Danio rerio: one gene and its partner. The protein of the gene in region 1 interacts with the protein of each later gene in a biochemical or structural test. Links are inferred from orthologs where the notes say so. Each region holds a gene or a part of one and is shown in the gene's direction. Other genes may lie near its edges.

Region 1 (4,131 bases):
AATCTCCCTGGCAAACCTTCCATAATAGCAGCATCACATTCAACTACTCCTGTGGCATTTGGAAATCCTCCTCTGCCACCAACAATATGTCGTCCAGTGTCTAAGTCATCTTCAACTTCTAAAAGCAAACAAGCAAACAAAACACTTATGCGTTTATACCACTAATACTCGTTGTTGTTGTTAAAAACTAAGTTGCCTATTACTTATACATGGCATCATTAAAATACATATTATATAAAGTCTGCTAAATTTTTTAATAACGTTATGCAAATAAGATAGATAAGGAGAAAGATTTATCTAACAACTGAATCAGTAATAAGAATAGTATTTTAATCCATCGTTCACAAGAGGTTCCAGCCGACTTTAAATAATAAAAGTCCATGCAGTTGGCTGATGATAGCGCAAACAGGTGTCAGATTTACCTGCCATTGCAGTTTCTACAACATCTGTAGCGTTTTGTCCAGCTAGCAGCAAACTTCTCATTCTGTCCACTGCAGGGCGAGAGAAAGACCATGTTCCCACAGCTGCCATTTGACACAAATGTATTGAAATACATCTATTTATGTACAGGAAAAGTTCGTTTCCATCGTTTGTAAGACTTTAAAACACAGTTTTACGTCCGGGGGTTATTAAAGCACAATTTCAAAATAAAAGTCTATGCGTTACAAAGACAGTTTAAAGGGCCATACTATGCATAATGTACACAATGTGTCATTTTTAAAGTGACATAAACTGACTTTTTGACATGGCCTGACTTTCAATAAAATTTGTATTTTGATTCAATTTCATACATAATTAAGCAATAATGCAGTGATTTGAATTAATGCACAATAATGTATATTGCAATAATACGTTAAAGATTTTAGATTTATTTATTGTAAAAAAAATATAAAGAAAACAATAGGTACATTTTTAACGTTTACCCTTTTTGCACAATAAAACGACTATTTCAATGTGGTCATGTCATTGGCCCAAGTATGAACATTTTCCTGCTTGTTATCATACTATTTCATAACTGTAATGTTAGGCAATTCAATCATAAATTAACATTAAAACAGCTGTCATAACCTTATTTAGCAATATGTATTCACCAGTTTTGCATTCTCTGAAACTATAGAAATTAAAAATGTAAAACAGGAAATACATCGGGATCATTGTTCTTGTTTACATCCATCAAAATGGTATATAAAATATATATTTTTTGTATTGAAGCATATAACTGACAAGCATACAGGATTATATGTAAAATATCACAAATTTGATTTGAACATGCGAGCTAATAGTGCACCGGAAGCGCATATTAAAGACGGCGGAAGTTGTTGTGAAGTCTCATGTTTTGCGCGCTCCCTGCGCTTCTGGAACTATTCAGCTCGTAGCCAACCGGTGGATCCTGCGAATTATCGGTTTGTTTGGCTGTCCTTTGATCTAACACTGTTTCTAGACGGAGAACTGTATTACAAGTGTTAACTGCTTGGGTTTTTAACGAACATATTAAAGTTAGCTCCAAAATTAGCCTCGCTAAACACGCTGTGCTGCATTCCTGTTCTGCTCACTATCACCTCTTTAACATTGTCAACTCTGTTCTCTTGAATGGGAATTCTATTATTTAGTGTTTCTGTAGGTCCTCGTACTGTTGGTCAATTTACGTATTATACTTTCTTTATAAATCCAGAATAACGTTACTGTGTTCTTTTAATTTAACGTTCAGATATTGCATTAAATTTTCTCTTGTGCATGTCTGTTTATTTAGGTGCACTTGGGATTTTTATAATCGTGTCTGCACTGTTGTGTGTAATCGGATTTTTAATATTTGTTAATTTGTATCTTTTTTTCGTTCATTTTAGTTTACGTCTTTTGGAGCCACTGAAGTTTTATAGGGAAGCCCTGAACCACTGCTCTGTTGTTTTGCTTCATAACCCGTCAGCATGGAGCAGAACAACAGCCTACCTCCTTTCGCTCAAGGTCTGGCATCTCCACAGGTGAGGAATGGATTGTTTAGTTAACGGGATTTTCCCAAAAATGACATTTCTTCATTTACCTATACTCAAGTGCTTATAAACATTTATAAACGTCTTGCTGTGGGTGAACAGAAAACAAGATATTCTGAAGAATTCTGTGGAAACATAAAAAGATACAGGAACAAACTCCAGTAGCCATTTTTTTTACATTTCAGTAGAGATTTGTAAAAGTTGGTTGGGTTGCACTATAATGGAAAAGTCGGATATTGCGATACTTTGTTTTTCTATGCTAAATAAAGCAATACGAATACCATTTCACAAGATGAATGAGTCTATCAGTATTCAGGTGCAGAAACTGAATAACCACAGTAGAAAAAAATGCTTTTCTTACACTGTCTTGTTTCCAGTCCAAATATAAAAAAAAATTAGTAAAGTAAAAAAATTGTTTTGTTTTCACTGTTAGTAGAAATATTAAGTGATTTTCCCTAAAACAAGCTAAATAATCTGCCAGTGAGGTGTTTTTTTCCATAAATTATAAATTTCGTATAAAGACTCGGTCAGTGAGGCTAAATCTAAATATTTTTCAAATTTGATTACTAAAAGTGCAAGTAAGCCAAAAGTCCTTAAAACTATTAAAAAATAGTCCTTAAAACTATTAATTCAGTTCTTAATCCAACTATGTGCTCTGTTCCTGTTGTCAATCTGGAGACGTGCATAAAGTTCTCTGACTTTTTTACAAGATATTAAATCACACCTCTTTCCCACCGACATAGATCATTCTGATTCGGTCCCTCCATCCAACAGTTTCACAAATTTTCAGCCTGTATCTTCTTCTCAGCTACTTAATAAAATTTTTCAGATGAAACTCACCTTTTGTCCTTCAGATGTACTGCCTTGCCGTCTTTTTCAAGAGGTTTTAGATACAATCTGCCCCTCACTCTTAGCTTTAATAAACAGCTCCTTAATAAACAGGGTTTTTCCAGATGTCTTTAAACATGCTGTTGTAAAGCCTCTATTAAAGAGGCCTAATCTTGATCCCGCTGTGCCTGCCCACTACAGGCCCATATCTAAGCTCTCATTTTTCTCAAAGGTTTTAGAGAAAATTGTAGTTTCACAATTAACCTGGACATTTTTAATATTCTAGACCCTTTACAATCTGGTTTTAGAGCAAAACACAGCACTGAGTCTGCACTACTAAAAGTCACAAATGACATTTTACTCTTCATGGATTCTGGATCATCTGCGATTTTAATACTTTTAGACCTAAGCGCTGCTTTTTATACCGTAGATCACAACATATTATTGAAACGACTTGAGTGTGTTGTTGGGGTTCAGGGCCTTGCCTTGCAGTGGTTCTCCTCATATCTAAAGGGGAGATCTTTTTCTGTAAATATTGGATCCTTTACTTCACCACCTAAACCTATTCATTGTGGTGTTCCACAAGGATCTATTCTTGGCCCTCTTTTATTTTCTCTTTATATGCTTCCTTTAAGCTCAATACTCCTCAAACATAACATAAGCTATCACTGCTATGCTGATGATCTCCAACTATACTTTCCAATCAAACTAGGAAAAGATTTATCATTAGAAAATATTTTCCTATGCCTTACCGACATTAAGACCTGGATGACAAATAACTCTCTGCAACTAAACAAGAATAAAACAGAAGTGTTAATTTTAGGTCCTGCTGCTACCAACAATTCAATTAAAACTTAGCTAGGAGCCCTAAACGACAATCTGCACAATCACGTCAAGAATCTCAGAGTTATCTTTGATCCACTCTTGCAGTTTGACAAACATGTAAATGCGGTTGTGAAGAGCAGTTTGTTCCAGCTTAGATTGGTGGCAAAAGTTAAACCCTTTCTTTCTAAAAAAGATTTAGAAATCGTAACCCATGCTTTAATCTCCTCTCGGTTAGACTACTTCAACTCTTTGTACATTGGCCTACCTCAGTCAACACTCTTTCGGCTACAGTTGGTCCAAAATGCAGCCGCCAGATTAATAACAGGAACTAAGAAAAGAGATCATATCTCCCCTGTCCTCGCCTCATTGCACTGGCTACCTATAAAATACAGGGTTGCTTTTAAAATTCTTCTTTTCACTTATAAAGCTTTGCACAATTCTGCCCCCGCCTATGTCAGCGAGCTTATTAGGCCATATACAGCTTGTAGAC
Region 2 (8,640 bases), on another chromosome or scaffold:
GCCATGTTTGTATTTTCGCGGTCAGGCTTATGCTGAAGCAAACGTAAGGTAAGTTGCATGAAATGATGTTCATCTTAGCAAACATTTATTTTAAAAAGAAATAAACCATTTCCTCATTATATACAAAAAAAAAATCGATTTAATCTGTAGGTAATGTTAAATATCTTAAAATATAACGTGCTAGGCAAAACGTTTTTTAAAAATATAAATATCAGCGTTACTGTTTTGTAGTAATAACATTATGAATTTTACCGCTAAATGCCTTATTTTTAAAAAGGGACAGGGGAAGAAGTCACTCGATGTGCTTGGCGCTGGGAGTTAGGCCGATCAGTCGTCTGATTTAACGTCACTGGAGAAGTTAATTTTTAATAAATAGCCGCTGTTTATTGATATTAAAGTGGGCTTAACCTTGTAGTACAAGTTGTAATATGGGATAAGAATTCGATTTCCTTCGTAAATGACAACGTTTAACAATTTCACAACGCATTCTTTAAATATGATTTCAGTACGTTAAGTAGTTTAGGACAAAAAAATAGAATATAAAGCTCTAATAACGATTAAGCAATGTAAAAAAAATAAATAAATAACATTCATTTGGTTGCATTTTCTATTATAGCCACTATGTGGCAGTAGACAATTGCTTAACAAAAAGGGCCTTACCTGCAATAGTACAAAAACAGTTGGTTCCTTCCTATACAAAAGCGAATTAGTGACCTCTCATATACAAAAATTACCTTTAGCACATTTATCCTACGTTTTGTAAACAAATTCAAACGTTTGAAAAAAAATCCCCAAAAAACATTAGTTAAAACTCCTGACCTGGCATTGGATTGTTCCAACTGGAGACAAAAACATCTTTAAGCAAGCATTGACACATGTACACAAGAAACTCCATGGGCCAAAGAGACTTTATTTCTGGTGTTAAGCTCCATCTTCAACATTGCAGGACGTTTGAGATACAAAATCCTTCACACTGATGGAAGACTGGTCTAACTTTAGTGCCACTACCGTTTGGGTGGAGTGTATGTTCCTTGATGTAGTTAAGATTATTGGTACTGGAGGAAGGGAGGACTGGTGGAGGCAGGGAAGGAGTTAAGTTAGGAGTCACGAAGTGTTCACTTCTGCTCAGGCATAAGGTCATCGATGGACTGGCCGGATTCCAGGCGTTTCTCCATCTCTACAAGCAGCTTAACTCCATCCACCACCATCTGAACCAGCTCAACCTCAGAGAAGCCCAGACGGTCTGCGTTGGAGATGTCAAACACACCACCTACTGCAGCAGTGTCAACTCCACCTGTTGAAGAGAGCAAGGTTAGTACTGGAGACCATTTGGTGTATAGGAGACAAAGCAGTTTAAAAGTGGAAAAAGTACCTGTTCCACGCTTTTGAAGCCGGAGTCGCTTAAGAATCTCACCAAACTTCTCATGCTTGCTTACGTTAGGGAGTTTGACATGAACGCCACCACGCAACCCTGTGCCCAGGTTGGAGGGGCAGGTTAAGACGTAGCCCAAGTGCTCGTTCCACATAAACTCATGGCCCTTCTCTTTAAACAGTTCCTCAATCTGCAACCACAAGTAAGAGGGTAAATTAAGAAATGCAGTGTATAGAAATGATTTAAAAGACAGATTATTTAAAAACAAACCTTTGTGAGGCCTGTGCAGAAGCGATTGAAGACTTCCCTCATGTTGCCACCTTTCTGCATGGAGATGACACGTAGATGGTCTTCCTCATTCACCCACACTAGGAATGTCTTATTGTCATTGTGCCTATGAAGCATTAAAAATAAATAAAAAATAATGTAGGAAGACCAACTAGAATTCAATGAGATGACCACTTTAAATAAAAATCGAATGGCAATGACGATTATTTTTATTATAATTTTAAATAAATTCTGTAAAACTATAATATAAACTTATATGCCAAAAGGCATCCATCTTGTAACTATATACAAATAAAAAAATAAATAATAATAATAATAATAATAATAATAATAATAATAATAAAAATAAATAAATAAAAAGCTAGCTACAAAGACGCGCTTACTCACCAGATCCCCCTGGCATCAGGCCAGTCACGGGCCATCCCAGAGGCCAGCAACAGTGGAGACACAGGCTTATCAAACAGGAAGTGGTCATCAATCAGCTGCTGCTGCTCCTCCTCCGTCATGTCCTTGAGGGCGTAGTACTTTCCTTTGAGATCACCATCAAGAGCCCCCAAAGCTGTGAAGTCAAAGGATAAGTCACAACCACCAAATCAACGGATACTTAAATCACATGGGTTTCTAACCACTCCTAAACCATTGCTCTCGACTTGACATGAAAACAAAAGCCTAAAGGAGCTCACCCTCGACAGACAGACTCTCGATACCGCGTCTCTCCCCACGGCTGCAATGAGGGGGGAGGCAGAAGCCGCGGATGCTCCTGCCGGTTCGTACTCTGGAGCTCAGAACGTAGTTGGGGTCAAGGTCATCTCCGCCCTATTAAAAGAAAACCAATGCCGCTAAATTAACCGCTGACTATTTTGAAACGTTAAACCCAATTAGATGCAGCAGACGGACAGACTCAATAGCATACCTTGAGGTTGTCTGGGTTCAGATCAGTCTTGTGCTTGTCTGTGGGTTTATATCCACCATGGCGGTCCTCAATGACGGGGTCCAGGAGCTCTTTAAACACATCGTATGTCTCCTCATCTCCGGCCACGCAGCCCACCGTCATGATGAAAGGATGTCCTGAAAGACAAAAATAAAAAACACAAGTCAGACAAAACCCCCAACTTTAGCGATTGAAAAACAAAAGAATTCTTTCAAATTTCTCATACGCTGATGGCAAACAGATTTTTCAGGGGCAAAAGCCTAATATAACCAAATCAAGCTTATCCTCGCATGGTTTGCCTTGCAGCAATCATGAGACGAGACAATTCTCCCTTTGTTGCGTGTAAACATAGCACCTTTGATCAAGTTCACTTTTTTTGCATGTGTAAAATACACAAAGTATAAAAACTAACTAAAATTATGCAATCAGACTGCAAAACATTTAGTATTTGTAATTAAATTACATTTTAAAAAGGCTCCAGTTACTTTAATTACATTAAACAAAATAAATAAATAAAAATAATAAATTTGTGCAACTTGGATAATTGTTGGTTAATTTAGGAAATACCAGCAAGTTAAAGAAGTCTGTCGATTGTGCGAAATGTTTGCTGTGATCCTGATGGCCTTATTTTCAATCTTCTGGGATTGTTTAAAAAGCCTCCCGATGAGCAGCGCAATACACCGATTGACCATAAGCCAACAGAACTGAAAAATGTGGAAATCTTGACTGGGTTTAACACCTTTGCTTGGTTGGGGGACATGGTTTCCAGTGTTAAACAAACATCCTAATGTTCATAGGGCATTGTCATTAGCTCAAGGCTGTAAATAACATTCAAGTTATTTTATTCGAATATCCATTCAGACATGAAGTACAGGTGTACAACTGTCAGATATAGATTAGCATTCAGGCTCACATCGATCACCCCTTCATTGGATTCTTTGCTTGTTCTGCCATAGTGTGTAATGGATTGAGACTTGCATATGGTCACATGTTCTAGTAAGCTGTTGGCCAACTCCACTTAGGTGATGAGTAAAATGTGACGCATGCCATAAAGCATATCTCAGTCACACACACGAGATAGGCAGGGCTGTCTACAGACCTTTAATATACTTCTGTAATACATTAATAGACCGACTTGCACCCTAAATAACATTATAGAAACCCCTTTTGGGGAAACCAACTTTAAATTAGGAGCATTTCATTGTAGATTTAGGCATCCATCTATTGGGTAGATTTAGACATCTATAAAACAGACTGGAATAGAAAACTACTATTAAAAAGCAATGCCTAACAGAAGAAAAACAAACATGGTAAGTCAAAAAAAAAATTTGTATTTTTTTAGGCCTTGTACTAGATCCACTAGTATTTGATGCATTTTCCTGTCACAAAATGAGATGTCACAGTATAAAAAAAAAAAATTAAAAATTTCACAAACCAAGTGTCAACTTGGCAATCGCACAGACCCAATATTGTGCAAGCTTCAAGATTGTACATACATTTTGCTTATAAAAGTGCTGATGTAAAAAAATTACTACATGAAACTTGCCACTGCCTACTTGGAAGAGCAGCCAACTATTAAAAAGAAAAAGAAAAAAAAAAAAAGTTATAAAAGGATCAAATCCAAGGTCATGCGAGATGACCTTAGACTACTAAAATGTGAGAAACTAAAACTTTAACTTAATGGGGGGGGGGAAATAAAAAATATAGACCGCTACACCAGAGGGCCACTGTTGAAAGACCCAGCAAATTAAGCGGATTATCGGTCAATGTGATTACACAATGAACCATAACCTTTGTTTGATTGCTTTCAAAAGGGCAAAATAAATAAGGACTACTGTTGTATACAACCATTTCATCATCAATAAACTCAGAAGTACCAGATAGCTAGTTTTTACAAGCTTCTGTTGAGAAGCTCAATTTTGTCAATAATTAAATCCCACTTGTATACTAAACAGACTTCATACACTGAAGGAGTTTGCTTGAGTTGCAGGGTTGGAAACCTGCCACTTGTATTGAAGAGAGGGACACGGTCATTGATTGTAGAAAGTATTTGATTGGAGAAATGTTGGTAGTAGGGGATGAGTCATCACTTTACCACAGATAAGGCAGACAACACCTCCCTCAGGTGCATTCTGCTAAATATACTGTAGGTTGTTGGCATATGGACGAGCAAATCTAACAAACGAGCTAGAAGCCACAACTCATTCGGACACAAAGTCTAAAACACTTGAAAGGGTGTGCACATCGCGTCCAGGTCCTTTACCTGGATTGTCAACTCCGGTTTGAATGACGTCATCCAGGGTAAATCCGCTGGGGGTTTGTTTGTCCCTAAGGTTTGCGTACATCTCGGGCGTCAGCACCTTCGCCATGTGGTTGTTGTGCTTGGTGAGGTCGGGATACTCCTGCTCGGCGGAGTAGTTCATCTTCAGCAGATTGTGAGTGTTACCGAAAGGCATGATTGCGTCTACCTGAGGGCAGAGAATTGGAAATAAGTGCATGTCAGAAGCGAAACAAATCCGATTCCAACACGAGGACAAAGCCAGCCCCTCTCAGCTGCATTAATAATGACGTAACAGCATTAAAAGCACATTTTGTACAACGGAGGATTTTGTTTAAACTCGCTTGAATGGTTTGAGCACTTAAACAGTCGTCGTGTATAACGGCAATTGTGCTCGGTGGCGCGTTGTGTCACGCGGGCAGTAAATATGATGGAATGTCGAGCGCGCGTCCGTTAAATGACGCGTCATATGATAAATGCGTTCACATGCATGTAGATTTCGCATCTTATGTAATGTCGTCTGTGCATTACGATGAGTTTGCAGTGAAATCATGTATTATTATTTGAAGCAAGCGAATGCGTAATGCGCCACGTCTCCAAAGACCTTGCAGAAAAAAGGAGGCTGACTGCAAGGTCGTTGCTGATGTTTGGGACAAAAGCACCTGGCCATGCACAGATCCACGTTAAGTTGGATTATAAATATCATTTAAATGGTTTACATGTTTATGTATTTATATTACTGGGCTCTCCAAACGATTAATAAACAGCATACGGAAACAAAGCGCACTGCAAATTGCGAGCAGAAGTTAAACACGAATTAGGCATGAATATAAATGCATTCCTTACGCTTAAATTATTAATACACAGCCCGTGAATGTTTGTTTTTACAAATCGATCTGGTAGATGTGTTACATCACATCTAATGAACGTAAATAAAAAAATAAAGGCTTGTTTTAATAATTTCAAGCAAAAACCATACCTTATACCGATTTTCTTTGGGAAAGCGGAATTAATCCTTCCTAAAGTCCACCAGAAACCACACAAAGACTGATAATGGTGTCCAGAAATAAGCCGCTTTGTGGGGTTTTTATATCAAGCCCGAGCTCTCCTCTGATTGGACGCTATTTGAGTCCATTCATTCTATTGGACAGCGCGTCGCATCACATCCACAACATCCAGTATTTGCTTACATTGATCACATGATGTTTTTCCTTGACGGCTCTCCTTGGCATGATTGACAATAAAAACTGTGGAATTCGATCACATTCATTTATTAATAATCATAGATGTTGTGTTTAGCATTTTAAAAAGAGGCAGTTGTGTTTATCATAAACAAATTCAACCTGTACTGATCAAGGGATGACCCAAATCAGATTTACTCAGTAAGAATCTATTAATGTATGACCTGAGCCCCAAAGTCTGACAATGAAGCATTGCTCATAATTCAGGGTGGATTTATCCTATAAACTCCATGTACAGTATCTGCCCGCCTTCTTTTAGTTCTCCATTTCATTACACAGTAATGAATCATCAGTTTGGCGTTGTGTGCGTGTGGTTTCATTTTTACAAGGAAACGAATTGTGTTTAACCTGTATTTTTGGTTTCATGTTGTTGTCCTCTGGACCATGTGAAGCTGAAATTGTCTACAAGCGCTTTGTCTTGTCAAGTGTCACATGATATGTTTGATATTATCTCTACACAAATGAATATGAAGTACTGTAACAAAATGCTTTGGTCTCTAAATAAAATCGCCAATCCTAAATAGTTTATATTTCAATGTAACTCAATCCTTAATCTAATTTACTATCTAATCCTCTATTCACTGACTTGTCAAATATCCAGTAGCATTCAAAAGTATGGGGTCAGTAATGTTTTTGTTGAATAAAATTAATACCCAATATTCAGGGGGCGTAGCGGACATTTTGAAAGTGGAGGGGGACAGCTAAATTTGATCAAAGTTTGCATTCATATAATTATTAATCACCTGTTTTTTTAATGATCTGCCTCTAAAAGTGAGGGGGGACGTCCCCCCTCATTGCTACGCCCCTGCCAATATCAGAAGAATTCATTAATTGATGTAACCCGTCATTAAATATGTCATGATTTTCAAAAAAACTGTTTACAAAAATAATAAAAATGCACGTTTTTATCTGCGGATCATAATATTAGAATGATTTCTGAAGGATCGTGCGACATCGAAGACTGGAGTAATGATAATAAAAATGTAGCTTTTACAACAGACTCTTTAACAATATTTCACAATATGCTAGTTTGTACTGTATTTATGGTCTAAACCAAACCAGTGACACAGACACTAAAATGTTGACATGTTCTATAACAGCCTTACATAAATATCTTACCAGACTTTGAAGCTTTGCTGTTTTAGACAGACTTTACCTCAGTGCTAATGAGAACCTGGTGAATTTCCTGGATTTAAGAGGCCACCTGGTTTCAAGGAAATGATATACTTGCTTCTGTGCTTGTTGCTATTAAGAGTTAAAGCTATGTTTTTACTGGAGACACCGCTTTAGTCTCCTGTGTACAGTAAGCTCTGCGAGGAGCTTAACCGTGGGCTCATGGAGAGACATCCATGCTGAGCAGATAATGCCATCGCCACTGTGCATGACTTTTACTGCAGTTCAGTGCTGTTTCTGCTGCCTTTACCTCCTGCTTTGTCTGAAATTACACATTGTATTATACTGTCATTTGTGCAATTATAAACTCACACTTCCTGTTTCTCTTTACCATCCTAGAACGTACAGTATGGCCACCCCTGTTTTTCTCTGTTGCCGGCATCACTGAAGTACGACACACGTTTAACCACATCTAGATTTAAATGCTGGATTATTATAACCTGTACACGTCATGATGTGTAGATTTGAACATAGCATTAGCATAACAATGTGTACACTTTTCACGATGTCCTGTTTTGAATTTAGCATTAGCATAGTAAACATTTCATGATATCTAGATTTGCGCTTAGCATTTGCATAACAAATTGTGCATATTTCATAATGTCTGGACTTGAACTTAGCATTTGCATCACCTGCACATTATCATTGACATCTTGATTTGAACCTAGCATTAGCATATTATCTCGTACACATTTCACGATGCTTCATATTAGCATTAGCTAATGGGCAACAAAGAAAGAGCTTTCACTTCCATATTTTCTTTGAAATATTGTACAAATTCTTTGATAGAAATGTGCAATCAGAAAAAGAGAGAATGTGTCTCGACTGAAGCCCAAGGCTGTGTCTGATGAGTATTCATGATGGCAGTGTTTCCCCCCCTCAACCCTGTGAAGTGTTTTTTTTTTCTCCCAGGTTCAGGGAGTGCATCGTAGTGCAGCAGTCACATTTTGACAGGGTGAGACCAATGCTGAGAGTGCTGATGTCAAAGAGAGTCCACTGCAGAACGTTTTGCTTTTCACCACTACATTTTTATAAATGCAAAACAATGGGCTGAATGCTGCAAGGATGACAACAAAACTCAGAAGACTAATTTGCAGCTGGTTCTCTTGAGATTTTCCTATGGGGAGCTTTTTAATTAATGAGTCAAATAAATTGTGTGGTAAGCATATGTTGACTAGTTATCTAATTGTATCTAATTATTTTTTAAAACTAAACACAACAGCTTTAAAATTCTAGTTTTGGATATGGATGTGTGTGATTTACTTTCCAAGTATCGTTGACTTGCATTTACCACAAGACCTTACATTAATTGAAAAAACCCATTATGAATTCCTGTAGGAAAATTTAGAGGGAACCA

What was found.
Region 2: the proteins of tbp (region 1) and brf1b form a complex in vitro, tested with the Homo sapiens proteins (2 studies listed by BioGRID). The link is inferred for Danio rerio from reciprocal best matches to the Homo sapiens genes TBP and BRF1.

What each region holds. Positions count from the first base shown.
Region 1 is NC_133188.1:27,610,667-27,614,797, reverse strand, and holds the start of tbp (TATA-box-binding protein), read left to right. Parts: upstream 1-1,331; 5' UTR 1,332-1,403; intron 1,404-1,844; 5' UTR 1,845-1,925; coding exon 1,926-1,979; intron 1,980-2,828; exon of another isoform or gene 2,829-2,913; intron 2,914-4,131. Other genes in the region: zgc:153169 (uncharacterized protein), read right to left, coding at 1-118, 423-483. UniProt on the Homo sapiens protein: The TFIID basal transcription factor complex plays a major role in the initiation of RNA polymerase II (Pol II)-dependent transcription.
Region 2 is NC_133195.1:23,360,536-23,369,175, forward strand, and holds the start of brf1b (transcription factor IIIB 90 kDa subunit), read left to right. Parts: upstream 1-3,659; 5' UTR 3,660-3,901; intron 3,902-4,854; coding exon of another isoform or gene 4,855-5,047; exon of another isoform or gene 5,048-5,059; intron 5,060-5,848; exon of another isoform or gene 5,849-5,917; intron 5,918-8,640. Other genes in the region: ckbb (creatine kinase, brain b), read right to left, coding at 1,116-1,294, 1,373-1,562, 1,643-1,766, 2,048-2,219, 2,344-2,476, 2,574-2,728, 4,855-5,047.